Mus musculus: one gene and its partners. The protein of the gene in region 5 interacts with the protein of the main gene of each other region in a pairwise test. Links are inferred from orthologs where the notes say so. Each region holds a gene or a part of one and is shown on either strand. Other genes may lie near its edges.

Evidence for each region.
Region 1: the proteins of Creb3 (region 5) and Slc35c2 interact in a two-hybrid assay, tested with the Homo sapiens proteins (2 studies listed by BioGRID and IntAct). The link is inferred for Mus musculus from reciprocal best matches to the Homo sapiens genes CREB3 and SLC35H1.
Region 2: the proteins of Creb3 (region 5) and Dram1 interact in a two-hybrid assay, tested with the Homo sapiens proteins (2 studies listed by BioGRID and IntAct). The two-hybrid records come from large-scale screens. The link is inferred for Mus musculus from reciprocal best matches to the Homo sapiens genes CREB3 and DRAM1.
Region 3: the proteins of Creb3 (region 5) and Gja1 interact in binary tests that used the Homo sapiens proteins (3 or more experiments, as listed by UniProt). The two-hybrid records come from large-scale screens. The link is inferred for Mus musculus from reciprocal best matches to the Homo sapiens genes CREB3 and GJA1.
Region 4: the proteins of Creb3 (region 5) and Bik interact in a two-hybrid assay, tested with the Homo sapiens proteins (2 studies listed by BioGRID and IntAct). The two-hybrid records come from large-scale screens. The link is inferred for Mus musculus from reciprocal best matches to the Homo sapiens genes CREB3 and BIK.
Region 6: the proteins of Creb3 (region 5) and BC016579 interact in a two-hybrid assay, tested with the Homo sapiens proteins (2 studies listed by BioGRID and IntAct). The two-hybrid records come from large-scale screens. The link is inferred for Mus musculus from reciprocal best matches to the Homo sapiens genes CREB3 and C3orf52.
Region 7: the proteins of Creb3 (region 5) and Slc30a2 interact in binary tests that used the Homo sapiens proteins (3 or more experiments, as listed by UniProt). The two-hybrid records come from large-scale screens. The link is inferred for Mus musculus from reciprocal best matches to the Homo sapiens genes CREB3 and SLC30A2.

Annotation. Positions count from the first base shown.
Region 1 is NC_000068.7:165,281,339-165,284,838, reverse strand, and holds part of Slc35c2 (solute carrier family 35 member C2), read left to right. Parts: intron 1-556; exon of another isoform or gene 557-581; intron 582-1,235; 5' UTR 1,236-1,470; coding exon 1,471-1,590; intron 1,591-1,905; coding exon 1,906-2,056; intron 2,057-2,694; coding exon 2,695-2,758; intron 2,759-3,458; coding exon 3,459-3,500.
Region 2 is NC_000076.6:88,322,304-88,326,075, forward strand, and holds the end of Dram1 (DNA damage-regulated autophagy modulator protein 1), read right to left. Parts: intron 3,124-3,772; coding exon 3,031-3,123; intron 2,483-3,030; coding exon 2,438-2,482; 3' UTR 501-2,437; downstream 1-500. UniProt on the Homo sapiens protein: Lysosomal modulator of autophagy that plays a central role in p53/TP53-mediated apoptosis. Not involved in p73/TP73-mediated autophagy.
Region 3 is NC_000076.6:56,375,993-56,380,099, forward strand, and holds the start of Gja1 (gap junction alpha-1 protein), read left to right. Parts: upstream 1-1,307; 5' UTR 1,308-1,526; intron 1,527-4,107. UniProt on the Homo sapiens protein: Gap junction protein that acts as a regulator of bladder capacity. A gap junction consists of a cluster of closely packed pairs of transmembrane channels, the connexons, through which materials of low MW diffuse from one cell to a neighboring cell.
Region 4 is NC_000081.6:83,525,408-83,529,661, forward strand, and holds the start of Bik (bcl-2-interacting killer), read left to right. Parts: upstream 1-1,454; 5' UTR 1,455-1,529; intron 1,530-1,709; exon of another isoform or gene 1,710-1,840; coding exon of another isoform or gene 1,841-1,934; intron 1,935-4,254.
Region 5 is NC_000070.6:43,561,205-43,565,457, forward strand, and holds the start of Creb3 (cyclic AMP-responsive element-binding protein 3), read left to right. Parts: upstream 1-1,453; 5' UTR 1,454-1,608; coding exon 1,609-1,755; intron 1,756-1,845; coding exon 1,846-2,002; intron 2,003-2,076; coding exon 2,077-2,147; intron 2,148-2,264; coding exon 2,265-2,354; intron 2,355-4,056; coding exon 4,057-4,163; intron 4,164-4,253. UniProt on the Homo sapiens protein: Endoplasmic reticulum (ER)-bound sequence-specific transcription factor that directly binds DNA and activates transcription. Plays a role in the unfolded protein response (UPR), promoting cell survival versus ER stress-induced apoptotic cell death.
Region 6 is NC_000082.6:45,651,319-45,655,618, reverse strand, and holds the start of BC016579 (TPA-induced transmembrane protein homolog), read left to right. Parts: upstream 1-1,500; 5' UTR 1,501-1,577; coding exon 1,578-1,718; intron 1,719-4,300. UniProt on the Homo sapiens protein: Has a role in LIPH-mediated synthesis of 2-acyl lysophosphatidic acid (LPA). LPA is a bioactive lipid mediator involved in different biological processes, and necessary to promote hair formation and growth.
Region 7 is NC_000070.6:134,349,546-134,353,045, forward strand, and holds part of Slc30a2 (zinc transporter 2), read left to right. Parts: intron 1-2,405; coding exon 2,406-2,540; intron 2,541-2,837; coding exon 2,838-2,983; 3' UTR 2,984-3,500.

The DNA of each region.
Region 1 (3,500 bases), on a different chromosome or scaffold from region 5:
CCAGACTGGGAACTCTTCCACTTGGGCAGCACATGTGGTATTCTTAACGGTTTCAGTGTATGGCAGAGCCCTGGAAAACAACGGTTGCTGAAACCAGTGGCCGGCCCTGTGCCTTTGTAACTTTCAGATTCCGAATGCAGAATCCTTCTTAGCCTTTATAGTCCCTGCTCACTAAACGCTGGGCGCCTCCTCCAGGTCACCACTCAGGGTTCTAAGGTCCTCTAAAGATAGCCACAGTCCAGGAGTCCTTTGGGCAAAGCCCACAGCCAGCCCAGTTTACCCTCAGGGAGGAGATGTGATAACAGGTTCCAGAGTGCAGAGTGGTCTGTCCAGCCTGATCGGGGAAGAGGCCAAGCTCAGGGTTCTGGAAGGTTCCCAGAGAGCTGGCATCTCAGCTTGGTGGGGAGGAAGCACCTGTAGTACCCCCGAAGAAGCAGATGTCTAACAGTGGGCCAGGGCCCACCCATGCAGAGCCAGGCTTGCCCTGGGCACTCAGTGGTGTTGCTGGGCTGACTGACAAGAGGTAGTCTGGTTTGGCAAGCACCCCCTCTCTGGGAGTAGCCGTTGGAGACCAGGGCAAGGTATGGCTGATCCACCTGAGGTCCTAAAGACCTGAAATCCCATACATGCTCTCTGTCAGAGAGTCATCAGACTAAACGGGAACATAGAGAAGGCCAGGTGTGCATGCAGCCCTCTTGGAGTGCAACCTTATAAGCATTACACTAGGGGACGGGGTGTGGCTCACAGGGATCATGGCCCCAAGCCTCAGGCCCTGGGTTCTGACCACAGCACTAAAAAGAAAAAAGGTCTATCTACTCAAATCACACCCCTTGAGATTGCTACCAAAAAAAGGCTCTGGAGGAAGAGAATTTGTACTGAAGTGGCCGCATTGACAGGGATGGAAAGGTGGGTTGGGTGTGGTGTTCCCTCCGTCCCTTCTGGGAACAAACTGGCAGAGACAGACTAGACCAGATTAGACCTTGGACCTCCAGGCAGGGCTTTGGCCTTGAAGGCCAGCTGGGAGCTGCTAAAGGTCTGGAGCAAGCTGACTGATGAGACCTCAGTCAGCTGTTGAAAGGTCCCATGTAGTGGGAACACGTGGAAGACAGTTTGAATGTACACTAGAGCCTCAAGTACCTACCTGGATGGGGGTGGGACTCATGATCTCTGCAGTCTCATGGCAACCAGAGCTGGTCTGTAGCCACACCACCAGACCCTGCCTCTCTTCTCTCCAGCAGTAGCGCTGGGGACCTGTGACCGCTGCATCCAGCTAACCATGGGACCGTTTGGCTCTGGCCACCAGCCCCTTAGGTGAGGACTCCATCAAGGGCCCACTGCCCATTCCCCATCATGGAGGCCGAGAGGATCCTTCCAGCCAGGGGAGCTGCCCTTTGAAAACCGTGGTCGAGTCCTGCTGGTTCTCCCTGCCAGCCACCTTCAAGAGAGGCTCCTGTTCCTGCTGGCCCACGGATGGGGAGGTGGGCCCTGGACGTCGCCTTTGTGTGGAAGGCAGCTCTGACCCTGGGCCTGGTCCTTCTATACTACTGCTTCTCCATAGGCATCACGTTCTACAACAAATGGCTGACAAAGGTAACCAGACCTTGCCAGTGCAGGGACCGGCACTAAGGTGGCTGTAGTTGGTACAGCTGTATTGGGTGATGGTGGCTTTTCCTGGACGCTGGTCCCGGGCGGGATAAACAGGTGGCTAGCAGGGGTGGCGGTGATGAAATTGGACAGGAAGTGAGTCCCTGGGCTGCCACTTCTCTGTGTGACCTCCACAGTGGGGACCAGCCACTTGTTCCAAGGGGTCATGCAGGGCACAGGATTGGCCCCTGCCACCATAGGGAGGAGATAGAGGGGAATGTGGCATCTCTCCACTCCTGCTGTCGTCTTTGGGCTTCACAGAGCTTCCACTTTCCGCTCTTCATGACCATGCTGCACCTGGCCGTCATCTTCCTCTTCTCCGCCCTGTCCAGGGCACTGGTTCAATGCTCCAGCCACAAGGCCCGGGTGGTGCTGAGCTGGACGGACTACCTCAGAAGAGTGGCCCCCACAGGTAGGTCCAGTGTGGGGAGGGCTGCTGGAGAGCCTAGGATAGAAAGCAGAGGCCCTTGTGGCCACACGCTACCTACCTCCTCTCCTCCCCACCTCTCTCCCACGGCCAGGTCTCAGCAAAGCCGGCAGTTGCCCTTGTCTGGCAGTTGCCCTTGTCCGTGCTGGCTCACATGGGCCTCAAGCGGGCTCCACCAGACGCAGAATGGGGGAGCCTCACCCTGTAACCATGCTAAGTTGGGCTAAAAGATTTCCTAGGACTAGTGTTGAGTGGGCAGGACTTGAAGAGTGGATGGGGACCTCTGACCCTGGGGATGTGAGGTCGGAAAGGGAGCTGAGAGCTCGGCTGGAGGGGGAAAGGAAGAAGGAGGGTTAGCAGGCTGGGCCAGTGGAGGGCCAGGTGCCCCTCGAGCCATTTGGCAGGATCGGGTTAATCCTCTTGCATGGAACTGTTTAGATTCTCTCGCAGAGGAGACTAACAGGCCTAGCCAGTCAGGATGGGCTCCAGCGCTAAGCAGGACAGCCTTTGGCTAGGGGTTGGCCTTGAATTGCTTAGTGGAAGGGAAGACAAACAGGGCCTTAGGTGTCTAAGCCTTATGCTTGCCAACTGGCTGCCCTGCCTGGGTGTCCCTGTCCCCACAGCACTGGCAACAGCACTTGACGTGGGCCTGTCCAACTGGAGCTTCCTCTACATCACTGTGTCCCTGTGAGTACTGACCACACCCTCTGCCCCCTTCAGGCCAAGCTTACTCGCTCCTTCCAGCTGGCAGGCTGCACAGCCAGCAGTGGACCAGCTCCTCCGCCACCCCCAGGGACCAGCCCCCCCCCCCCTCTCTCTCTCTCTCTCTCTCTCTCTCTCTCTCTCTCTCTCTCTCTCTCTCTCTCTCTCGGCCCCTCCCGAGCACCTGGCAGCACTCCAGGCAGCTCTGCTAAGCCCAGTGCAGAGAGATAGGCTGCACCTGCTGGCCAGGCAGCAAGGGGAAGCCAAGGGATTGGACAGAGATGCTGCAAGTTCTTGGCAGGGTGGGTGGGGGATGGGGATGGGAGGAGGCAGGCAGCAGGTAGGAGGACCAGGCAGGGGAGCGGGTGAGGGTCAGAGATCACCTGTCTGCAGTCACAGCCCTGATGTCTCACGTCAGAGAGTGCAGCCCCTCACTTCTCCTTGTCCAGGTTTCTCTCATTCTTACCTGGTCTCTACCACCAACCAGGTAAAGAACAGACCGAGTCAGCTTGGTGTTAAACCCCCAGTTCACCCTCCAGTAACAGTCAGGGCTCTTAGAGACTTCTTCCCACAAAAGGTGACATATCCACGCAGACCCCACTGGCTGGCTCCTTCCAGTCTCGGAGACCTGGTTGCCCTCGGGTGGGCCTGCCGCCATGCATTGTGGGTATCTGCTCTGCCCCAGGTACACGATGACCAAATCCTCTGCTGTGCTCTTTATCCTGAT
Region 2 (3,772 bases), on a different chromosome or scaffold from region 5:
ATGAGCCGATCCTGTCCACATACAACACTGCGTGAACTAAGAAAAGACAAGGATTAAGCCACATCTTTATTTGTGTGTGTCTATCTCTGTGTATCTGGGGTGTACACATATGTGTGCATGCAAAGGCCAGAGGGTATCAGGTGTCAGCTTCTTATCACACTGTCTTATTTCCTAGGAACAGGACCTCTCCCTGAACCCGATGCTCTCTTGTTTCTCTGCGAGGCTGCCTGACTAGCTGGCCACGGGGATCCTCCCGACTCCCGGTCCCCTCTCAGCACTGGGGTGGCAGGGTCCATTGACACATTCGGCTTTTATATGAGTGCTAGAGAGTCAAACTCAAGCCTTTACGCTTGAGCAGTGAGCGATCCCAACCACTGAGTCATCTCCCCAGGTCAAGCCCTACCCTTACAACCAACATCGAGCAATCCAGAACCAGCCCAGATAACTATACTTCACAACAGCCCCCAGGTGACGGCTTATAATGCAACCGAGACAAATTACTAAAATAAAGAAATATTTTATTTTACTTTCTCGGGTACAAAGTCCAAGGAAATACATATTTGTAGAAATTAAAAATAACACCAAAACAGGGATAAAACTAGAAGTCGCATGGAATCTGCAGAGTGTGATTTGGGGGCCTCCTCGGTTTGCCAAGACAGGTTTAGCCCATGTAACAATTTCTGTGCTATCTGTCCAGGAGAGAGTTGTCACACAATCATGAAGCTCACACAGCTGGAACAGGTGGAAACGAGAATAGTTCACAAAGCAAAACAGACAACATTACTAATTGGCACAGACTAGCTGTTGACCTTAGAATACCCGTGAACTAGAGTAAAAAAAACCCTTAGCACCTCAAACATCCCTAGTCGTTACTTGTTCATCCATTTATGCGTGCATACATTCAATGAGTATTTATTAAGCACCTATTGCATGCCACAAGGCACTGTGTTCCACTATGGGTAAAGGCACGTGGTCGGGTCTCCAGTGGAAGCGAAGAGAGCCAAGTGCATTCTGGGAAGGCATCAACCAAGGCTCCCGCTCAAAGCAAAGAACAGCATGCATTCAGTCCGCCCCAGCTTCCACAGGAAATGTATCGACTCCTCTCTCACTCATCAGAATGACAGCCACTGTCTTTCTGTTCCAGTGTTACAATGGGCATGTTCGGTACTGTGAAAAGTTACAGGGGACTCAGAAATGGACGTTGGTTGCCACCACTGCACACTGAGGAAGAAGACACAGGATGTCATGGCAGAAGTGCCTGCTGAGCAGCACCCTTCACTTAGCAGCCAAAGGAGGCACTGCTGTGTGCCCCTTCATCGCCAGGTACCCTTTCACTAAGGCTGTCCAAATGGTCTCTGTCCTTGGAACGTGCCCTTGGGGCAGCTCCTACTGGCCCAGACTGGGGGGTCTTGTTATCCACTTCTTCCTCCACAACAGCTGGCGTTTCTTTGCCATTGGTGAACTGCATGAAAGGTAGAGTCTCCAGGCCTTGCTTCGGAAAGGGCCTGACTCCCTTATAGTGGCCCACAGGCATTGATAGGAGCAGATAAACAGCAGCCCACATCTGGAAGTTTCTATGAGCGCTCTCCTTTCTCCCTGACTTGGATCTGCATTCTCTTTGGCTTACAGGGAAACTGAGAAGTGAATTGAACTTGTGCTGCCCGGTCACAGAGAAGGGCAGTTTGATCATTTCTAAGCTGGCCTGATGAGCCCATCCTACCTGGAATTAGTTCCCGGGCCCACCATTAACAGCGGCAGTAAAGCTGTGGGTCCCTTGGAGAAGTAAATGAGGGGGCTAAATTTTCGAACCGAGGTCTTCCACATTCGCTGGTTAATGTGCACTGTAAATGGTTTTGAGTCCTTCACTATAAAAGCATTTGTTTAATGCACTGAAAATTCAGAGTGCTTTAAAGTGTTCGTTTATTACCTAAATCTATACCATTAGGGTATATAATCACTATGAATTGAATTGTATAAGTGCTCTTGTGATGAAAATGTATGCAGGTCACTGTATTTAAAAAATGAAATTTTAAAGTGAATATGCCCTGATTTGGCTTCTTTAATAAAAAGTACTAAACTTAACATTTTTTTCTCTTAGTGTATTTTCATAAATCATTATTACATAAAAAGTCTAAAGAATCTATACAAGAATAATCCTCCCCTTTCTGCAATGCCTCGTCTTCTTTGCATATGAATTTGTTCATAAAAGATTGTTTTAGAAAATATAAAAATATTGCTACAGTGTCGTTGGTGCTATCCATCCTCCAGGGAAACATACCTTTGTAAATTGAACTACTAGGAACTCTTAATGAAATTCAAGTCCCGGATGTGCCACAGATAAAGTCCCCATCAGGGTGACATCCAAGCCCGTCCGTCCTCTGTCCACTTCCAGAAACTGTCTGCGACACTCCCTGAATGAGACAGGATTCTCGATCTTTCAAAAGTCGTCATTGATTTCTGTGGATATCCTTAGAGTGACACTCTACAGAGGCAGTGGGAAGGGGAACATCAAAGATGGAAACAATTCCAGCATTAAGTATGCCATTCTCAGACGCTTTCTCCCACCTAACAGGGGACTCCCACTACCGTGCCTTGCTTGGACTGAGTCCTGAAGGATTCTCTTGGCTTTATCATTTTAGCCAGTAATTCACTTGTTCTAGGAGGTGAGAATCTTTCTGGGGTTGAATATCCTGTCTTACCTTCCCTGGGTCTTAGGAATGTTTTTCAACAACATAATTTTTTTTCATGATCATATTTTCTGGTCTTTGGAACTAGTGAGGGCTACCTGAACACAGCCTGGACTTTGAGCATTGAATGGCAAATAACATGAAAGTTTCAATGGTGAAGTGACCTGTGTGCCTAATGTGGCCACTTTTGAAAGCAAGCTAATAATGTTATGTAGCACACGACACCCAAACATATTATAAGGGTAAAAAAGGAATGTTTCTCAAAAATCAAGAACTTCTCTAAATTTTCACTAATCCTAATCACCAGGGATTCCTATAACATTTGAATTGATTAAGTCCTTACCTGGAAATCTTGGATGAATGTTAGGAAATAGAAAATAAAACCAAAAGCCACGGTCCACTCACAGATGGCGCTCACCACGTGATATATATAATCCTAATAGCAACAGTAAAGATACAGGAGTTAGTCAAAACGACCTCATCGGAGCAACATCACCTGGAATACGAGATAATCAGACCAGAAGACAAAACTGTCCAATGAACACAAACTGTAACCTTGAGGGAATCTCAGATGCAAATCCTTGCAGCCCAGAGGTCAGAGACTAAGTCAGCGGTTGATAGGAATTCAAGCAGTGCCAAAGTTCTCTATAGCTCTCACTTCTAGTTTGAAGACTTGAGCTACAGGGAACTTCAAAAGGAAAATTAAGGACCACACAATGACTGAGACCACAAGGTAAATTTGGACCGCAGTGAAGAAAGGGTTTGGTTTTGTTTCCCTGCCCTGGGAACTCCATAGTTGAAGGAGTCGCTGAAGTGTCTAGAGGGTACTCCCTCCCAGGGATCGTCCTAGAATGAACGTGTGCACACCCATAAGACCAGCTTGGCACCCCGATAGGTTTTTATGCCTCTCTGTTACTGTGGGTATTGATTCTGCAGAGTGCTGATTCGCACAATAAGGCAAATACAGCAGCAGAGCAAATGCCAGAAGCAAGAGACCCATCATGCTTCCGATGGCTCTGGAGACAAAGGATGCCAGGAGCCAGCCGCGTCTGGAGTTGAGAAACGATGAAGCAGGTGGAGGTTGA
Region 3 (4,107 bases), on a different chromosome or scaffold from region 5:
TCTGTAACATTACTTCCCTTCTTTAAGTTAAAGACAAAGGAACCTCAAAAGTAAGAGAACATGCTGGGGTCTTAAACTGTGAGGTTTTAAATGGCACTCCCTTAGTCATCCTAGTGAGAGGGTGCTTCGGCAGGAAAATGTTTCCCAGGAAGTCTTCGCCATCCTTTGTTCTGCTATTTACATTAGTGTGAGACGTTCAGCTCCATCAGGTGATGCCTATACAAAGGCCTAACTCCAGGAGCGCCGCTGAAGCCTGTTTATCGCCCTATCACAAGCCCTCGTGGGGGGCATCTGGGAACCCTCAAAGGAGCTGCCCACCCTAGGAATGAGGTCATATGACTCAGGCTTTCATAAACCCCATCAGGTATGATGAGAGAGGCATGAAGCTGTGGGCAGGCAGTCACCAGGCCCACATCTCTTCCCTGAAAGTGCTTCCGAGGGACAGGATTGGAAGAGAGAAAGAAGTTTTGAGACAGGCTGTGTCTGGCAACTCTGGTCTGCAGCGGTTAGAAGGAAGAGGAGGAGGGGGACAATTCTGGCATCTCCCTGCCGATTTAAATGTTAAATTGTAGGCATAAAAAAGACTAAGATATGGATCTTCACTTCCTTGGAGATTGGGTTGAGGTCCTATCAACGTTTCAGACAAGAGTTACATACATGATATATTATTTTTATTCATAGTATAGAACATGTATCTTCTTGTTGTTAATTAAAAGAATAAGGAAAACTACCTAAAGCAGCAGAGAAACTGAAGAGTAGACATCCCACTCCACGGGTCTGGTTGTGAAATGCCTTTCCCATGCCCACCGCCTCTTTCCTTTGTTAATTGTCCGGGTTTAAGAGGAAGAGAATTAGGTCATAAGAAAGATCACTCACACCCACCTCAAGCTTCACACACCTTGGGCAACCCAGAACAAGTCTGCACGAGTTCACCTTGTCTCCCCCCCCATTTTTATTTATTGTAATATTATTATTATTATCATTATTATTTAGGAAATGTGACCTAAAAGGGACATCTTCTCACTGCCCGTGGTCATCTCCTGAAGGAATGACCCATCCAACAGTTTTTTTTTTTAATCTGTGAGGAGTCACAGCCCCGCAGTAGCTGACGTACATCTAGAGCTATTTCTTACTTTTTTTCCCCTTCTCGTCAGCACATTGAAACTACAACTTTATCTTGACCAGGTTGCTTCTTCTGCCTGCTCAGCTCCACGCTCGCCAGCCTCCACTCCACCTCCTCCCCGCCTTTTCTTCCTCCCTCCCCTTTCTCCTAGCCCCTCCTTCCAGTTGAGTCAGTGGCTTGAAACTTTTAAAAGCTCTGTGCTCCAAGTTAAAAAACGCTTTTACGAGGTATCAGCACTTTTCTTTCATTGGGGGAAAGGCGTGAGGGAAGTACCCAACAGCAGCAGACTTTGAAACTTTAAACAGACAGGTCTGAGAGCCCGAACTCTCCTTTTCCTTTGACTTCAGCCTCCAAGGAGTTCCACCACTTTGGCGTGCCGGCTTCACTTTCATTAAGTGAAAGAGTAAGTTTTGAAAAAAAGAAAAACCCACTTTACCTAGTAGCGTCTCTTTCTGTAAGGGAAACTCTTCTATGCTTTGTAAATGCGTTGCGTCTTTGACTTAGGATACTGTAAGTAGAACGACGATCTTCAAAGTGCCTTTGTCATTTCCACGTGCTGAGTTTGATTTGGGTTTGTTTAAAAAGTTCCGCTGAGAGTGCAACAGGTAAAAGGCTCAAACTTTTTCCAACTAGAGTGAAGGAAGGACCAAGTTACTAAACTTAGTTCTTTGTTATGGAGCCTAACTTCACTTTTCTGTAGTCGCCAATGGAGAAGGTGTTGCGGGGGTGGGGGTGATGGGGGGGCACCTCAGTCAACTTTGCTTAGCCTGCTTCCTATAGTGCTGGACACTACACGCTTCTTTTTTTTCTTATGAAAATCCGGTCGCCTGTTCTACTGCCTTGAAACTGCAGACTCCTTTTGTAACAGAGTGCTTTGTTGAGACGCTGCGGCAGCAGTTGACTTCCACGTGGTTCTCTCTTAGACTTTTCAGGACTAAGCCACTAAATACGTAGACCAGGGTGCTGCGGTTAGAGTTTTTAGACCAACAGTGGGTACTTTGTGCAAGCCTGTGCGATGCTACGGGATGAACCTCTTAGCCTGCACAGCCAGCATTTTTTTTTAATACTCCACGCTGGCAACTCCGGGCGCGAGAAATCTTGAATGGGTGGTGGTGACTTACGGAGAGTTAGAGGAAGAACGGGCGTTTAGAAACAGTGTGTGCCAGGTTGCTTTTCCAAAATCAACTGCTAGAACGCGAGCTCCTAGAAGGAATGGGGAAAAGGGATTTTTAGAGCTGCGCTTTTAGAAAGAGCTGCCCCCTCTCCACCCCCAACTCCTCCTGCGTGCCCGGACTTGTAGTGACTTCAGAGCTGTTAGGACAGTTTTGAATTGGAGCCATCAGAGGGTGCAAAGCACTAAGCAAAAATGATGCTAACGTGCAGCTTGAAGGGGGTCCGTCTTAAAGCTTTTATTTTTAATTGGTAACACATTCTGTAAAGCACTTTGACCGGCCTAAATCCACACCGAAGTATCAGGGTGGGTCTGTATTGAAGGGCTTTTTTTTCTGTACCAGACCAGGCCGAGTCGTTGTGAAGTGAAAGCTTTAGGGCAGAGGATGGCACGGGCCCCTCCTGCCCAGTCTTAGCATCATCACGGGCTCCGTTCGCGCTTCCCGCAGCCTCCCAGCTTCGCGGTCCAGACGGCTGGCTGCGGAGGGGGGGAGGGGAGGCCAGGCTCGCGGCCCGACGGTCAGAAAGCAAGTGGGCGACTTTATTAAAGTTGTCAGTCTGAAGTCCCCCGCGCCCTCCCAGTCGCCTTTTCACGGTTTCTCTGCCTAAACTCGTCGGGTGGCTGAGTGGAGCCCCTGGGAAGGTCCCCTAAACACCTAGGGAGTCCCGGTGCTGGTAAATGCACTTGTAACACTCCTGGAAACTCTTGAAATTCCCCAAGAATGAGGCGGGGCGGAAGAAGGAGGGGCAAAGAAGACCCTTCGAGAAACCCTGCCATAGCTACTGACGTGTGCTGAGGCAAATCCGTTCAGGATTGGGAAATTCAAACCTTGACTTCCGAGCAGAGTTCTCCCCGTGAGTGCCCTCGGATCCACCCAACGCTCGCTGGGCATCTCTGGCAGAGTCTTGGTCGAGCACCCCGGGAGACAGCTTCCCTTCCCCTCCCTCCCAGTGCTGGGTTTCGGGTTGGAAGAGGAAAACTTAAAACGTACAGGGCAGCCTTTGGAGGTGGATTTGATTCCTTTGTTCCCCAAGCCAAATAATAATGACTGGAAGGTAGTGAATCTTACCAGTCCAAAAGACCACTGGGCAACCTTGAACGGTCAGTAGTGTCCCATGAGGAAGCCTGGGGTTCTTTTTTTCTTTTTTTTTAATGAGGATTGCTGAAAATAAAAGTCTGTAAAGTAAAGTATGCTAATGAGGACGTATACTACCTGAGGAGAGGGGTACTACTAGTTAATTCTGCTAGGTAGGCCAAGTTGTGTTGAAATGTTAGTTACAGATTGTATGGTGTGTCCTGGTGAGGTGTTGAATTCTGAATTACTGGAATACATCTATCTCCCCGGTGTGTGAAAACTTTGCACACTCAGAAACGGGTGCAGTGGCTATCTGTCTTTTGTCTGGTGTTCCAGGTGGTAGTGGTTTGATATTCCACTGTCTAAACACATTATATATATATATATATATATATATAATCTTCAACATTGCCCCATCATTCTTTGAGGTTGGGATTCTTCTATTGCTGACTTTACACGGGAAATTTGGTTCTAAAGCCAGCCACGAGAAGGGAAGGCTGCATTTCCTTCCGCATAAGGAGCAGAGCTTGGTTGCTTAGCTGTTTCCAAATCCCGCAGAGAGAAGGAATGGCACATACTCTGCCTTTATTACGGTATTGCAGAGGTGTAGCTCTTGTGAACTGTAGAAACTTTGTATACCCCGAGGGAAGGGAACTATAGGAAAGTCACCCACTGATTAATACCTGAGACTCCACCTTTCCTGTTGTTCTAACTTCCCTTCAAGATTCGGTTTGACTT
Region 4 (4,254 bases), on a different chromosome or scaffold from region 5:
CAGCCTGGTGGTAGTAGTGGTTGGTGCATGCTTTTAAACCCAGCACTAGGGAGGCTGGGGCTGGCACATCTCTGTGAGTTCCAGAAAAGCCAGGGCTACACAGAGAAGCCCTGTCTTGAAAAAGCAAACGAACAAATAAACAAACCCCTCCAAATAATGAATTCTTGCTATATTGCCCGGAACCTACCCAACTTCCTAGTCTCCCCAGCGGCAGGCCGTTCAGGGATTGAGTCACTGTGCTAGCCTCCCATTTGATCAGCCTGTTGCCTTGGGGATCTTGCAGGCTAAATATTTTCACTCACCCCCTCCCCTGGGCCCCTAAGTCCCCATCTGACCTCAAACTGGCCTCCTTCCTCCACCTTGTCTACTGTTTACAGAACGCATCTGCTGACCGGTCAGGTCTTTCTGGACTGTGAGACCCCTTGTCACTGCCTCTCTTCTCTCAGTCTCAATTTTCTGCAAATTCATCTGCAAAATGTATTGGCAGAGAGGCTTCAAGGTCCCCTGCCCCCAACTCCAGGTTGTGACAATCCCTGATGGCTAATGGCCAAAGATCAGGGTTCAATTTGCTTCTGGGCTTGGAGGTGACAGAAGGACCACAGAACTGGAAAGATCTGAGTGGCAGGATTGGAAGGCCTCTAAGATTAAATTCTGCCGAGGACCTTCTAACATGTGGGGGGAGGGGCTGCCTTCCCGTGTCAGGAGAAGATTTAAGGAACCCCAAATATCACCACCCCTCTCCTGACAGGAGAGGGAAGAGTCCAGCTGACTACTTGACAAAGCACGCAGTAGGAGGCACCTGCCCCAGATTCTGACCTCTGCTATCCCGAGAGGAGCTGACTTGGGATAAACAAGTTTTGTTGTTGTATAGATAGTGGTTACTTTGTAATTCGGCCAGTGCTCCATCTTTACTCACCTCGGAGCCCCTGCTCCAGGGCACTGGAGACTGAACTCCTCCCACTTCACCTGTAATTCTAGATTTCACCTCCTACCGATCCTCTCCTTCACCCTAAGTCTTCGCCAAAAGGAGGGCTGGGAGAGCTCCCTATACACCGGGAGAGAAGAGAGAGGGGAAAGGGGGAGATTTGGAGGTGCAGTGCGGAACTTGTAGCAGGCGGGAGCAAAGGGAAGCCACAGAAGCACCAAGCCTTTAGGAGTACTATGAGGACCAAGTAGACAGCCCTTGCTAAGGTTTGGCCGCGGCGATGGCAGAGGCGGCGTCTGCGGAAAGCACACTCGCAGACGCACTGGCGGGGACACAGTAGCAGGTCTACAGGCGACAGAGGAATGTCTGCAAGCTAACGACTTTAAAACAGGGGTTCTGTAGCTACTTATTGGGACCGGGGATTTGGAGCCCCGGAGGGAGGAGTTAAAGGGGCGGGACGGGGAGGGCGCGGCCACCTATCAGGGTCCAGCCCGCCGCTCACAATAACCCGCCTCCAGCCAGCGCCCCCGACTCCGCCACCGGCGTCCCAGCCGAGAGGGTGTTCGGGCAGTTCGCCCGCCGCTACGCCAGCTCAGCTTGGCAGGTAAGCGTCTTGCAGCCCTAGCCCAAGTTGCTGGAAAGTTGGGGACCCGTGCCCAAATCCCTCGGTGGCCCCGGCTCTGAAACGTCCCCTCTGCGTCTGACACCCCAGAAGGTGCTAGTCTGGTCCGCGTGTCTCGCTGTGCGTCCATGCACTGGGGTGGCCCTTGTGTCCTGGTTCTAGGGCGCGCTGAGCAAGTGGCCTTCGTTGTCGCTGTGCCCTGGTTGTCGAAAACTTAGGGGGAGCAGCTTGAGACCAGGGCGCGGCACTGCCACAGTAGGGCGGCCAGGCTGAGCCCGGGCCGCAGGCGGAAGATGGCGTCGGCACCTGTCTCCGCGAGGACCGGAGAGTTCGCATCTGTCCCTCCCTCGGGGATCCTGGGATTCGCACCGTCCCTGCCGCGACCTGGTAATTCACACCTGTTCCCGACAGAATCCAGCTTCGCATCTGTCCTCTCTGGGACCCGGGGATATAGGTCTTCGAGGGGCAGCAGAAGGGCCTTCTTAGGCGACCTGGGTAGTTCAGACCATCATTTCCCCGAAGCTCCTAGCCACCTGCCTGCGCCCAGGCGCAGGGACTGGGAGTGCATCCGAGGGGCCGGCAAGGTCGCCGGTGTACCAGCCACAACCAGCACTGGGGGTTCAATACTTGTGTCACTTTTCCACCTTGTGGCCTTCAGGATGCGGATGCAGGTTGTTTTATAAACTTAATTGCTGTTCTGAAGTGTACTGAACCACCCCTACAAAGTGTTGTTTATTGTTGTTGGCGTTGATGCAGGTGATAACACTGTTACAGGGGTTTGGAGCCAGCTGCAGCTCTCAAGAAGGCTGGTCTCCTACCTACTTTGGGGGATGGGGGAGTTGTCAGTGAACCTTAATTTTAACCTCAGGGAAGCAGGCCTCATTTCAGATAGGCTTATGTCCCAACAGCTACATAGAGCTGGCTCCTTCAAAGCCTGGAGGGCTTTCTTAGAGGCCACACCAACCTCTCTACCTGTGACCTACTTTCTGTTCTGACTGTGTAGCTTTCTACAGGCTCCTCCACCATTCTGGACCTCAGTTTGTTGAGTTTGTAAACTGCGTTGTGGTTTAGCCTGGTGGGGAGGGACCTTTCCCAAGAAGTGGCTGAGTAGCTCGGCAATGCTACCTTGATTTCCACTAGGTTGGGGCATGTTTACTGTTGCTCCTTTACAAGTATACACCTAAGGGTCACCTGGGGTCCTTGGCTGCTTTTGGATCTAGTGTCCTGCCTAGGGCAGGTGGCACTCGTGACCTCCCAGCCTTGCCCCTCCCCACATCTCTCACTCCACCCTGCCAATTTTCTCCCCTCTATACTCCAGGATTTGAGACTTTCTTTGTTTTGTTTTGAGGCAAAGTTTCATGTAGCCTAGGCTGGCCCCCAGCTCACTATGTAGCTGAGGATGGTCTTGAAACTCCTGATTCTCTTACCTTCACCACCTGAGTTCTAGGATTCCAGGTATAGTTACTGTATCCAGGTTATTTGTAGCTGGGGATGGAACTCACAGCTCTGTGTATACTACCATTGTTTTCTTAAGTAAGGCCTCACTATGTAGCAGAGGCTAGCCTCGCATTCTCAATCCTTCGGTTTGCTTCCCTAGTGCTGACTTTTAGTCTGCTTTCTGTTGCTAATAAGATACAGTGCATTGGGTTGGGTTATAAAGAAGTAAAATTTATTCTGGCTTGTGATTCATGTGGGGTTGAGGGCCATCTTGGGTGACTCCCTTTTGTTGGCAGAAGACATACATTGTACATTTTACCCACCTCTCAAAGGTCCGGCCTCTAAACCCCACAGTGAGGTTGAGTTTCCCCTTTAAATACCTCACAAGGGGATTAAATGTCAACACCCCAATCTTTGGAGACCCCCAGGTCATATCTAACTACAGCGCCTCCCCTTCAAAGTCACAGAGCTGCTGTTTCTCAGTTGTTCCTCCAGAGTTAGGTTTTAAAGGTTGTCTGTGCTTTGCTCTTTTTCTATTTCGGAGACAGGGTCTCACACTTTATAGCCCAGGCTGTCTTTGAACTCTCAATTCTCCTGCCTCTGAGATCCTGGGGTTATGGGTCTTTATTGCTTATTTTTTAACTTTCTTAACTCAAAATGTGCACCTTTGCCAGAGGATGCTGGCTCTCATCCCGAGCTGGAAAACGCAGTGTGTCATTTTTCAACTTGGTGACAGGCTCATTTAACTTATCTTCTAAGCTGAACCCTAGTTAGCATTTTAAAGTTAGCTAGATCTGTTTTGTTTCCAGATCTGGGGATGGGACCCTGGGCTTTGTGTATTTTAAGCAACAGGGGGCCAAGAAGCAAGCAGGCCGCCTGGCTTACTTGGGGCATGGGATGCTGAAGGCTCAGTAAAGGGTCTAGGTAAGAGCCCAACACCACCAGAAGGAAGGAAGAGGATGGGGTCCACCTCCCAGAGGAGCCCAGACAACTCTAGTACTTCCTCCTCAGGCTCAAACATTCCAGAGCATATGAAGAACGTAGAAGCTGAAAGGGGAGGAGGTAGCTTGCTACTCTGGCCTTCTGTGATGGAGCTACTCTCCTGTCACAGTTGATCCTTTTTTGTAGCACTGGGAGGTTTATAAGGGGTCATCGGAGTGATACATCCCTGGCCTTTCATCTTCTGATGTCTTTGCTCAGTTGACATTTCTCTGACAACCCCTCCATGTCCACCCTTCCTGACATCTCACCCATTATTTGTTCTGTCCTA
Region 5 (4,253 bases):
TTCTTTGGGTAAAAGAGGCCTCTGTAACTGCACAGGAATAAGAGAACTCACTACAAAACAAAGGTAGCTACTTCCTGCCAACTTCTTACATTTTACCAGCTCAGCTGTAGCTGCAGCCTCAACCCCTAACGCTATCACCAATTCCTAACATTAATGCTGACTTTATTTCCTATTTCCCTATACATTGACATTCACCCCTTTCCCAGAAGACACCCATACTAATCTGGCTTTTATTTTTAGGCCCAAATCCCCCAAATTTAACCCTAAATACTCCCTCCCACCCCACCCTGCAGTTCTAAAGCTCATTTGTAACTTGGTTCTTAATTAACCTTTTCACTGTTTATTCTTAATACTGACCATGACACCGGCCTTTAATCCCTAAAACGGGCATCTAAGCCAATTCCTGTTGATCCTTAACCCGATCCTGTACTCTGACTTAATGCTGGTCATTGCAGAAAATAATGACCTCAGTTTAAATGTCACATATGCGAAACAGACTTGACTCGTGCAGCAAATGTTTAGAATGTAGTTCACCTTCTTAACTTCTAAAGGGATCCTTGCTTCCTAAACGCGACGGCACCTAACCCAAACTCACCCCAAGTTTTCCTAACCACTTACTCACTATCGGCTAATACCAAAGCCCATCCCCGCCCAGTGCCTCACTGCCACCCAGTGCCTCACTGCCACCCCATTTCTACCCGTCCCCAAACCTAGCCGAGACAGAGAACTGTCTACCCCCGCGAAAGGGCCTGCTTCTCGCAACAAGGCCAGCTTAATTCCAAATCCAAACCGAAACATACTGGACCCTGACCTCCCTAACCAGACACAGGATATGCAGGAGGATTGGGGGCCCCGCCCGCCGCTTCCCGGGCTGGCCCGATCCCGCAGCCCCACCTAGAAGCTCGGCCCAGCCCGTCCGGCCTACCTGCGCTGCCCGGCTCTGCGCCCCGCCCTGGGCCCGCTACCCGCTCCTTCTCCCGGTCGCTTTTGGGGCTCCGGCCTCGCCCTCCCTTCGACACACTCTCGGCCACTTCCGTCCTGGAAACGTCCCCCACCCGCCGGCGGCGCCCTGGGCCCGCGCTCTATGGTAGCGGAGACTGCAGGAAGCTGCTCTGGCCGTAGTTCTCGATGCTCGGGCGCCCGCGAAGCCTGGCCGCCCCTCCCCAGCAGGAAGCGAGCGTGCAGAGCTCTGGAGAGAACGCCCGAACTAAGCTGGAGTTCCCTTTTAAACGCTTAAGTTTTTTTTTTTAATAGCTCGAGGCGAAGGCGGACAAGGATCCTCAGAATCCCCGCCCTGGGGCGTGGGAAGCTTGAAAGGACGTCCCCATAATTTGCATAGCCCCCGGGACGTGGCGCAGCCCAGGAGCCACTTCCGAGTTGGAGAGAACTCCAAGTCCCAGGATTCCACGGGGCTATGTGCACCACTTCCGTTGTGTTGGAAGCTGAGGAATACAGAAGCTGAGAGACGGGTGCGGTTTAGAGTGACAGCTAGGCCCTTGTCCCGGAGTGACGGAGGTTAAGTCGAGCCGACTGGACAGACTGAGGGGTCGTGCCTGAGGTTCGGAGGTTGGATCTGCGCGGAGGGATTTCTATCCATAGATATCCCAAATGGATCCTGGTGGTCAGGATCTGCTAGCTTTGGATCCCGGTGATCAGGACCTGCTGGGCTTCCTGCTAGAGGAAAGCGGAGATTTGTGGGCTGCGACTGAGCCGGACGTGAAGGCTCCGCTGGACTTAGAGCTGTCACCTTCCGAGGTGGGTGGGTGGGTGTTCCCAGTGGGGGAAGCTAGGGATGTCCGCGAGACCCAAGGTACGGAAATAAATCAAGGCCTTTGAATTTGATAGAACTCCGTGCAAGAACTGAGCGACTGGGAGGTAGAGGATTTACTGAGCTCTCTGCTCAGTCCCTCAGTATCGCGGGATGTTCTCGGCTCTTCCAGCTCTTCCATTCTCCATGATCACAACTACTCCCTTCCACAGGAGCACGTCTCCATAGATCTAGGTGAGTGTGAAATGATAAGTTGTGGGGGAGGAGAGAGCTCACTGGGCTAGCTGGTTCTACTTTCCCTTTTGCAGATACTGAGAGCTTCGAAAAGGAGGGGTTCCACGTGACTCCACTGCCAGGGGAGGAAAGAGCAGCGGAACAGGTGCTGGACTTGATTTTTTTTTTCAGGATTACCTCACTTTGCAGCAGCCAAGATCCCCCATACTGCTCTGAGAGCTCCATGCAACTCTGCTCTCTTCACTATTTCCTCCATCCTTAGGAGATGTCTAGGCTGATACTGACCGAGGAAGAGAAGAAGCTCTTGGAGAAGGAGGGGCTCACTCTGCCCTCAACCCTTCCTCTCACTAAGGTAAGGCTCCTGTTGGTAGAGCAAAGGCTGGAGGGGGTTGGTAACCCAAGTAGGCAAGCTCAGTTTGTTTCATATCAATCACTTGCAAAAGGACAAACCAACTCCTACAAGTTCTCTCATCTCCAAACACACACCCACGTCAAAAGATAATGTTTTAAATGTAACTTTAGTACAGAGCCTTGAAAGTGAAGGGCCTTGATAGCTTCCGTTGTTATCTTGGGACCTCGAATCATACTCAGTGGTAGAAATGCTTGAGAGGCTGACTCAGTCTAACAACATCAACAATCGTCAAAGCTGGACATGATGGTGCACCCCTCTATAACCCTAGCACTCTGGAGGCAGGAGCAGGAAGGTCTTCACAAGTTCAAAGTCACTTCCCACGTGCTGGGATTACAAGAATACTGCATCTAGTTTTTGTGGCAAATTTTTTTAATGTCATTTGCCTTTTTAATATTGTCTTACTTCTGATATGTAGATATTTACTTATTTGGGGCAGGTGGATCAGCATTAACGGACAGACTTAGCTTCATGTTGAGTTCAGGCAAGCTTGGGCTATGTGAGAAACCATCCCCTATCCCTCTATCACTATTACAAGATGAATGAGCAATATATTGGGAGGAAAGGAAACGGAACTTGGAAATTATCAATAGTGGTTCTGTCCCTAGGATAGTAACTGTCTTGTCTTCCTTTACACTGGCCAGAGCATGCCATAATTCCCCTACCCACTGGGATTGGAGTACAGTACCTCATGAATGTTCATCAATGCTCACTGCTGAGCCACGCCCTCTGGCCCTTGTTGTTAAGGCAGGGTCTTGTAAACCCAGGCTGGGCTGGCCTCAAACTATGTAGTAGGGAAAGAATGCCTTTGAATTCCTGATTCTCCTGCTTCTAACTCCCTCGGACTAGATTACAAGTGTATGATGTCACTCTTGGCTAGTGTCCAAGTTTGACAGGCATTATCAGAGAATGTAAGAGTTAACTTTATTCAGTTTTAGTTTCTGAAAGAAAAAAAGTTGAAAGTACCTTAAGATAAGGATATATTCTATATCACTTTAGAGACTCTAGGAAAATCAAATGAATGGAAATTATAAGAAGATTGATGTTGCTTTAGGATAAGGGTAGATGTTGTTGTTGTTAGTTTTGAGACATGGTCTTATGTAGCTCAGTCTGTCCTCAAAAACTACCCTAGCCAAGGATGGTCTTGAAATCCTGACTTCCTTCTTCTGCCTCCCAAGTGCTGATACTACAGGCATGTACAACCACACCTAGCTTAAGTGGAATTTTTAAAATTAATTAGAGACTGGAAAGATGATTCCGTGGTTTAGAGTACTTTCTGCTTTTCCATGGGGCATGAGTTCAAGTCCCAGCTCCCACATGGCAGCTTACAATCCGAGGAGATCTGACACCCTCTTCTAGCCTATGTGGGCACTAGGCACACCCATTATACATATACGTTATACAGACATGCAGGCAAAACACCCAAACACATAAAAAATAATAAAAAGTCTGGCTTTCTAGTGTTGAATATCTGCTCCTTGGTGTTCACACAGAAGGTAAATGCCTACTGACAGAGAGGCTGTGGAGAGTATTTGATTGGGAAGAAGGTTAGCTGTCTTCCAACATACCTATGTAGTATATATAGGTATAACATACAGGCATATAATAACATACTGTGGGTGACCTTTCCCCCATCTTCTCTTAGGTGGAGGAACAAGTTCTGAAACGAGTGCGGAGGAAGATTCGTAACAAGAGAGCAGCTCAAGAAAGCCGCAAGAAGAAGAAGGTGTATGTCGTGGGGCTGGAGAGCAGGTAAGCAAGGATGGACACGGGGGAAGCCTGGAGGGTCTTGAAGGGAGGAGACACAATATTTTGAAATCCACGTGTCCTCACATCCATGTT
Region 6 (4,300 bases), on a different chromosome or scaffold from region 5:
TTGTTCTCAAAGCCTCGTAATGCATGGTTTGAATAGCTGTAAGTCTATAGTACTTGCTCAGCCCATCCCAGTTCTTGATTTATCTTAATTTAGAGAGTGTCTCACTCCATATTAGAACCGTATTTTTCCTGTCAGAGGGCAGAGTTAACCGTAGCACCAAACAAGTAAAATGGGATGAAAAAGAATTTCAAAGGAGAAATAGTAACACTATATTAAACAGGACTCAGAGCACTGCACAGAACTGTAGAGAAAGTAGAATTGAAAGGACAGAGAACAGGAAATGTTATTTTCCAAATTAGTAAAAGTGATTGGCAAATTATGACTACCCTGTGATAATGAGTATTTCCAGTTCATAGTACTTAGTTCAATTTTCTAAAAACACTTTCTTTGGGATTAAGGATAAACATCACAATAACAGCATCTCTCTGGTGACTGGTGATAAAACCCAGGGGTAGGGCCATATACCTGGGCTGAGCCCCTAGCACTGCAAAGAAAAGAGATATTTCCAAATATTTCTGGAATCCTCAAACTGGTCTTAATAACTATCTATGTGAGAGGAAGGAAATGGGGAGAGGATGGTGGTTCTGAAAAGAAGGTTTAGCTAGAGGCAAGATCTTTGGACCAATACCCAATACACACTTTGCTTTGCAAACGTAATTCCCGGCTCACTAAGCCAGTTCTGAGCTGTGCATGGGGTGTGGAAGGCATTGTATGCTTCCTGACACATGGGCCTTTTCTTCAGGTGCGGTGTTCATGACCCCTCCTCTCAAAGATAAACAATAATCAGTAAATCAGTAATGTTTATGAATTTTTGCTTCTGCGAGTCACTGTCTTCTGTGCTGAGAAACACAAGCGTATGAAGAACTCACACAGTGCCGATTGCCCTTACTAGTCTAAGGGATACTGATACTGCCCCTGTGCCTGAATCAGGAGGGGCGTGGCTGCTCCTTTCAATGGAGAGCAAAGCCATAGAGGTAGAGGTAGTGTATGAAAATTACTTCGGGGCTGTGTATTATTCATCTTCGTGTGTTCGGAATCAAGCATGCTGCCTGGCACACGGAAGATGATTCATAGCTGTTTGTTGATTTGGTAGATGAGCCCTCGCTAGACAGTGAGTACTGGAGTAAGTTTCAGCATCACACTGGTCCAGGTAGAAGGCTGGAAAGTTTCCGGAACCGCACCCTCCCCCGTCCCCCAACACCCTCCCCACCCAACCCTGCCTATCCCTTCCTTGCCACAGTCCAGCTTGCAATCAGGCCCTGTGAGCTTCTGCGGTCTGCATCCACACGGAAAGGCATTGCAGCTAGCACCCTGAACAAACCTGAAAAACAGCCGGTCCCACTTGCATCTACCTTTCCTGAGCAAGGTCAGCTAACCAAAGCCGGAGTGCTTCCACTCTCTCTGGCTTCGCCCCTCCCCTCCAGGTCCGCCACCGCAGGCCTATCTGGCGCCGCCCGAGGTCTACCTGCCGCGCCTGGTGGGTGGAGTGTGAGCTGAGTAGTCTCCCTGTGCTGGACTCTGCACCCTTAGGTGCTAGAGTCTTGCCTCTCAGCGGAGCCTCCGTCTTCGGCGCTGCCATGGAAGAAGGGTCCAGATCCCAATCGCCCCGGGAAGAGCTGGAGCTCTCGATGCTGGACGGGCCTCAGGAAGAGCTGACACCTCTCAACAATGACCTTCGGATCCAGCCTAACTCCGCTGAGGACCCTAGCCCAGCCCAGGTAAGGACTTAGGGTTCTGGCGTGACAGCAGGGAAGGGGCCTGGCACCACTTAAAGGCTCCAAAGCGTCCTTCCAGCGCCCAGGACACGCAAAGAAGGGGAGGTTAAAGAAAGCAAGAACTTTTGGAATTTCTTAGATCAGACCCCTCCATTATGAGACTCGGACCTCGCCTAGAGACTTCAGGAATCCTGTAGAGGGGCGTGGCTGCTCCTTTCAATGGAGAGCAAAGCCTTAGAGGTAGAGGTGCTGTTTGAAAATTATGTAACTTTTAACTTGTTTTTCTTTCCCAAATAAAAATAGAGTGATGGATTGAATCATATTGTCTCTCTCCCCGTTCGCTTCTCCGCTTTCTCTCTCTCCCCTTTCTCCCTTCCAGCACCCCACCACCACCTCTAGGGGCGTGCAATCCACTGTCTCCTACCTTTAACCAGCCCTATGTCCTCCGCGCCCTCCCCCCACCTTCAAACACATTTTGTTATCTCCCACTTTGGCCACTGCTTCCTCCAGAAGAAAAGCAGGCAAAGAACACGAGGAGGAAAGAGCTGCTGCGTCCAGACTGAGGGTTGTGAACTGTTGTGAACTTGCCAGCTTAGTACAAGGGAAATACTTTCTAAGTTCTACCTAAGAACTAGCCTCACTGTCTTTTCATCTCTGAGGAAGTCCTTAAGGGTGTGTAGGTTGAACCCTTCTCTGATATCATAACATTACTCACAGATCAAATACTTGTAAAACATCAGAGAGTTTGAATGCTGAGCCACCTGTCTTCTCATCAACTCCAAAGGTTTACTTGAGTTTTACTGGGCACACTCAATTTTCTGGACGCATTGTTTTAGCCTGGTTTTTCTCACCCCACTCCACCCCCATCCCTCTTGGGCTCAAGTTCTGACTTTAGTAGAATTCAAAGCTCGAAAACATTACTCTTGGTCCACTGTGATTCCTGAAAACACTGTGTGGCAATGCCTTATTTTATGAGTACCCTGGAGTCTAAGTTGGCACCTTCTGTTTGTATGAAATAAGACCACAGATGAGTGAAAATCGGAAGGTAATGCCTGAAGGCCAGTGCAAGAAGCCATAATCAGGAACTTTCTGTATGATTCTCCAGGGCAGAGCCTGGGCAGGAGAATTAGAAATACTTACCTCAAGTTAGTCAGGCCCAGTACATCCCCAAAGATTGAGACATTCTCCAGGGGGGAAAAAGTGTTTGAGCCCAGAGACGCTGTGAAACAATCTTAATGTCATATGCTCCATTTATGTGAAACAATGTTAATACCATATGCTCCGTTTAGGCCCTGAGAGCCCTAGAGAACAGTTGAGAACACGCCAAATCCATACCAGGTATCAGAATCTTACATTTGCGTAGCACCTGCTTTGTAAAGAATAGGCTTCAGTGTCCTAGTGACTTCCTTGTTAGTCAGACGTATGTAGATGTGCCAGACTTCCTTGTAATTTGGCGTTGTAGGTGTCTAAATAGGAAAATTTCAATAACTGATAGAATGGGGTGAGGGTAGAGAACCTGAAGAGCGTTCTAGAAATACTGGAATGGTAGCACTTTACTGAGAAGAGAGAGGACAAAACCTCAAACCCTTCCCTAGCATGTTCATCAGTCTCTGACTCTAGAGAATAGGTTGAAATGTGTTTCAACATGAATGGTCAGTTAGTGACGTTCATTCAGTAAGGACTGGTTAGCACAAGCACATGGTCTATATACTTAAAATTTTTGTGTCCCCATCTTAAGTTGTGTGATAATAGTTCTGACTTTTGTTCTTATTTAAGTCCATACACTTTCCAAAGCATATGTTTTGTACCTATTGCTGCTATGTGCAACTGTGTAACACATCAATGCAGCTAATTATTAAGGGTAGAAGGAGCTGCCCTAGTTAGCATGAACTGTCAACTTGAGACAGCAAAAAATCACCTGACAAGAGTCTCAGTTGAGTAACTGTATCAGGTTGATCTGTGGGTATGTTTGTAAGGGATTGTCTTGATTATCTATTGATAAGGGAGGATCCAGGCTACTGTTGGGGATATCATTCCTGGACGGGTAGTCCTGGGCTATAAGAAAACTGGTTCAGCATGAGCCAGTGTGAAAGCTAGCTAACAGCATTCCGTCATAAATTCTGCTTCAGATTCCTCCTTGAGGTCCTGCCCTGACTTCCCTCAAGGAAGGCCTCTGACCTAGAAGTGTAAGCCAAATAAGGAAGCCCTTCCTTCCTTCTTCCCCCACCCCTCCAAGTTAGTTTTGTTCAGAGTGTTAGGTCATAGGGACACAGATAAAAGTGGAAGAGGAGGGTGCTAGTTTTCTGGTTTGACAGATGAAATAGCTGACTGAAGAAGCTGAAGCTCCAGAGATACAGCCCAGCAGCTCAGGGTCACTCAGTGGGGCCTTCTAAAGTTCAGACTCAATGACTTTCAATGTCTCAGGTCTACATTGTTCATCAGTTTTAAGAAAACATTACTTTGATTTCCTCCTCCTCTCTCTCTCTCTCTCTCTCTCTCTCTCTCTCTCTCTCTCTCTCTCTGTGTGTGTGTGTGTGTGTGTGTGTGTGTGTGTGTGTGTGGTGTGCGCATGGGCCATGATGTAC
Region 7 (3,500 bases), about 91 Mb from region 5:
TGGTGTTTGTTTGTTTGTTTGTTTGTTTGTTTCTGAGCCAGGGTCCCACTGTGTAGCTTTGGTTGTTGTCCTGGAACTCACTTTGTAGACCAGGCCGACCTCAAATTCACAGACATCCATCCGTCTGCCTCTGCCTCCCGAGTGCTGTCATTAAAGCTCTGTCAGTATGCTCACCTCCCTCCCAGACTTTTTTTTTCCCTCCCAGATTTTTAAGATAGTGTCTTAGTTAGGGTTTCACTGCTGAGAACAGACACAATGACCAAGGCAACTCTTATAAGGACAACATTTAATTGGGGCTGGCTTAGAGGTTCCTCTGATAATGGTTCAGTCCATTATCATCAAGGCGAGAACATGGCAGCATCCAGGCAGGCATGGCGCAGGAGGAGCTGAGAGTTCTACATCTTCATCTGAAGGCTGCTAGCGGAATACTTAACTGGCTTTCAGGCAGCTAGGATGAGGATCTTAAAAGGCCACGCCTATTCTAACAGGGCCACACCTCCTCCTAATAGTGCTGCTCCCTGGGCCTAGCAGAGCATATAACAAACCATCTCAGATAGGGTCTCACTGTTTAGAGCAAGCTGGCCTTGAACGCACACGTTCATCTGCCTTTGCCTCTGCCGTGCTAGGATTGAAGCTGCTACCATACCCACCTCACTTTGGTTTTTAAATTACAAGTTAGGGTCTTTCACTGAACTTAGAGCTTTCTCAATGCTGGGCTGGCCTGCAAGCCACCTGGGTCTCCTTGTCCTTCATCTCCCACCCAGCTCTAGGGTTACTGAAGAGGTGTGTGTTTGTTTGTTTGTTGGTTGGTTGGTTGGTTTGTTGGTTTTGCATTGGTGCCGGGCACCTGAACTCAGGCCCTAATTTCACCCACTGACCCTTCTCCCCAAAGCTGAAGCTCTCTAATTAGACTAAGCTGACTGGTCAATAAGTCCTGAGGAATCTGCCTGTCTGGGATTACAAATGTGCACTATTGTTTGTGTGTGAATGTGTGTGTTTGTGAGTGTGTGTGTGTGTGTGTGTGTGATTAGTGTGAGTTCTGAGGGAATCTAACAGGTATCCAGCACTGTTGTTACCAGCTGAAGTATCTCCCCAGCCCGACTTGGGAGCTTTCCCTCAACCTGTGGCTCACGAAGTCTAATCAGCCTCAAGGATGGTGTGGATGTTTGGAGAACTCACACTAGAGTGGGGAGCTAGTTCCCAGCTGAGTCGTAGCCAGTGCTTATCCCACCCTTAGCCCCATAGGCCCAGGGCTGCCTCCTCCCTCTGCCGTTTGGAATGTGTCTTCCTTGGCTGGTCACAAGACTGAGAGGCCTTGGTAACACCTGGAGTTCCAGCCACCCCTCCCCCAACAGTCATCAGGTGGTTTTTCCACAGAAAGACCGGGATTCGGGTGTATTTTAGGATCTTTGGTTTTCTTTGGGGGGCAGAGTTTGCAATAGGACCTGGCTGGCCTGGAACTCAGTGCCAGGTTGGCCTCAAAGTTTGCCTCCCAAGTGCCAGGCTGAAAGCATGCACCACCATACCCAGCAACTCTTTAAAAAGATTTTACTTCATTTTTGAGACAGGATCTTAATATGTACCCCTGGCTGTTCCAGAACTCACTATGTAGCCCAGACTGGCCTCAAATTTACAGAGATCCACCTACCTTTGCTGTCTGACTGCTAGGATCAAAGGGTGGTGGGAATCGAACCTTGGTCCTCTGGAAGAGCAGCAAGTGGTTCCAATCTCTCTAAGCCCTTGGTTTTGAGACCAGGTCTCTATGCCTTGGCCTCCTGAGTGTTAGAAATAGACATATGCCCTTGTACTTGTTGGATGAATCTATCTCAGCTCAGCCCTTTCCCACGGGTCTCACGGACTGCATCCTGTTTGTGCCCCAGCTGCAAAGTGGTAAATGGTCTTCCGGAAACCACCTCAGTTCACCGGGATCAGGGACAGTTGGAGGAGTGGGGCTCAGGCCTAGGATTGATTGGCAGGGGCTCCAAGGCGAGGCAGTCAAAGCATCCAATGTGACTGACCTTGCTGCGCCTGGTGGGGTCACATCTGTAACCCCAGCAGCTGAAGCAGAACTTTCCAAGACCAGCCTGGGGGGGCGGTGTACATAGCAAGACTCTGTCTAAAAAGCAAACAGATTAAAATGAAAATGGAAACATGGTTCTGCTCTGGGCACTGACCTTCTAGCTGTGAGCAAGACAGCCTTCTGCTCTCAAGAGTTTCCGTTCTAGACACAGATCAGTTAAACCATTCCAGGGGCTGTCCCCTGTAACAGGACAGAGTGGGGGATGGGAACCACGTGGAAACTGCTGGCTGAGGAGGCCTTCTGAGTAGATGGCCCTGGAGGAATGGGGTGGGGTTGGGGGCGGGGGGGGGGCAGCGACCTTCAGCATTGTTCTTGATGTCCTCAGGGACTCCCAAAGGCGTGGACTTCACAACCGTGAAAAATCTCCTGCTGTCCGTGGATGGGGTGGAAGCCCTGCATAGCCTGCATATCTGGGCGCTGACAGTGGCCCAGCCGGTGCTGTCTGTCCACATAGCCATTGGTGAGTAGAGGTAAAGGAAGAAGCGCAAGGCCTGGGGCTGTCCAGGAGGGTTTGCCAAGCTCTGACCACATGCTGAGCGTTTAAATGCTCTTTGATCCTCCCCACTGCATTTATAGGGAGAGAGAACTAAGGCCCTGCTTGGGGTGGTCAGGTCCTTGTACTTGCTGTTGGGTGGGGGAGACAGATTCCAGCTCTCAGGCTTGCTGGATGCGGGACACCCCCTAGTGTCTCTTGTCCCCTAGTCTGTGCCCCAGGGGTAGACATGAGCCCAAGCATCCCGTGTTTCTCTCGTCCCAGCCCAGAATGCTGATGCCCAGGCTGTGCTGAAGGTGGCTAGGGACCGCCTCCAGGGGAAGTTCAATTTCCACACCATGACCATCCAGATTGAGAAGTACTCTGAGGACATGAAGAACTGCCAGGCGTGCCAGGGCCCCTTGGAATGACTCCCCAGCCAGACACCGTCTCCTCGGAAACACGGTCAGGACCTGTGGGTAGAACTGTCCGGTGTGCAGCCGGGATTCCAGCAAGGCACAGCCTGGACCACTCCACGGTGGGGCTCTCCTTAGCCTCTCTGAGCTCACAGGATGGGGACACGGCAGATGAGGCCCCACTTCTCTTCCAGGATGGTGTTTGGGCAGGGTCCTGAACTGATGTCATCCTAACACCACCGCTGGAGAGACACTGAGGCACAGAAAGGGATTTGGGGGTGTCCTGTATGATCCAGGGTCTCTGTGTCTGAACCAAAAATTGAACAAGATCCATGTAACACGTGACCGGGTTGTCCGGGGGGGGGGGGGGGTTCCCTTGGCAGGGTCGGTCTCATTGATAAAAGAACCTGGAGCTGGACTCAGGAGGAAGATCTGAGGCTATTTTATTAGAATTTGGGAGAAGGAAAACAAACAAAACAAAAACCCACAGTCCAGGCAAGCCATGAATCTCGGCAGCTACTGAAGGAAAGTG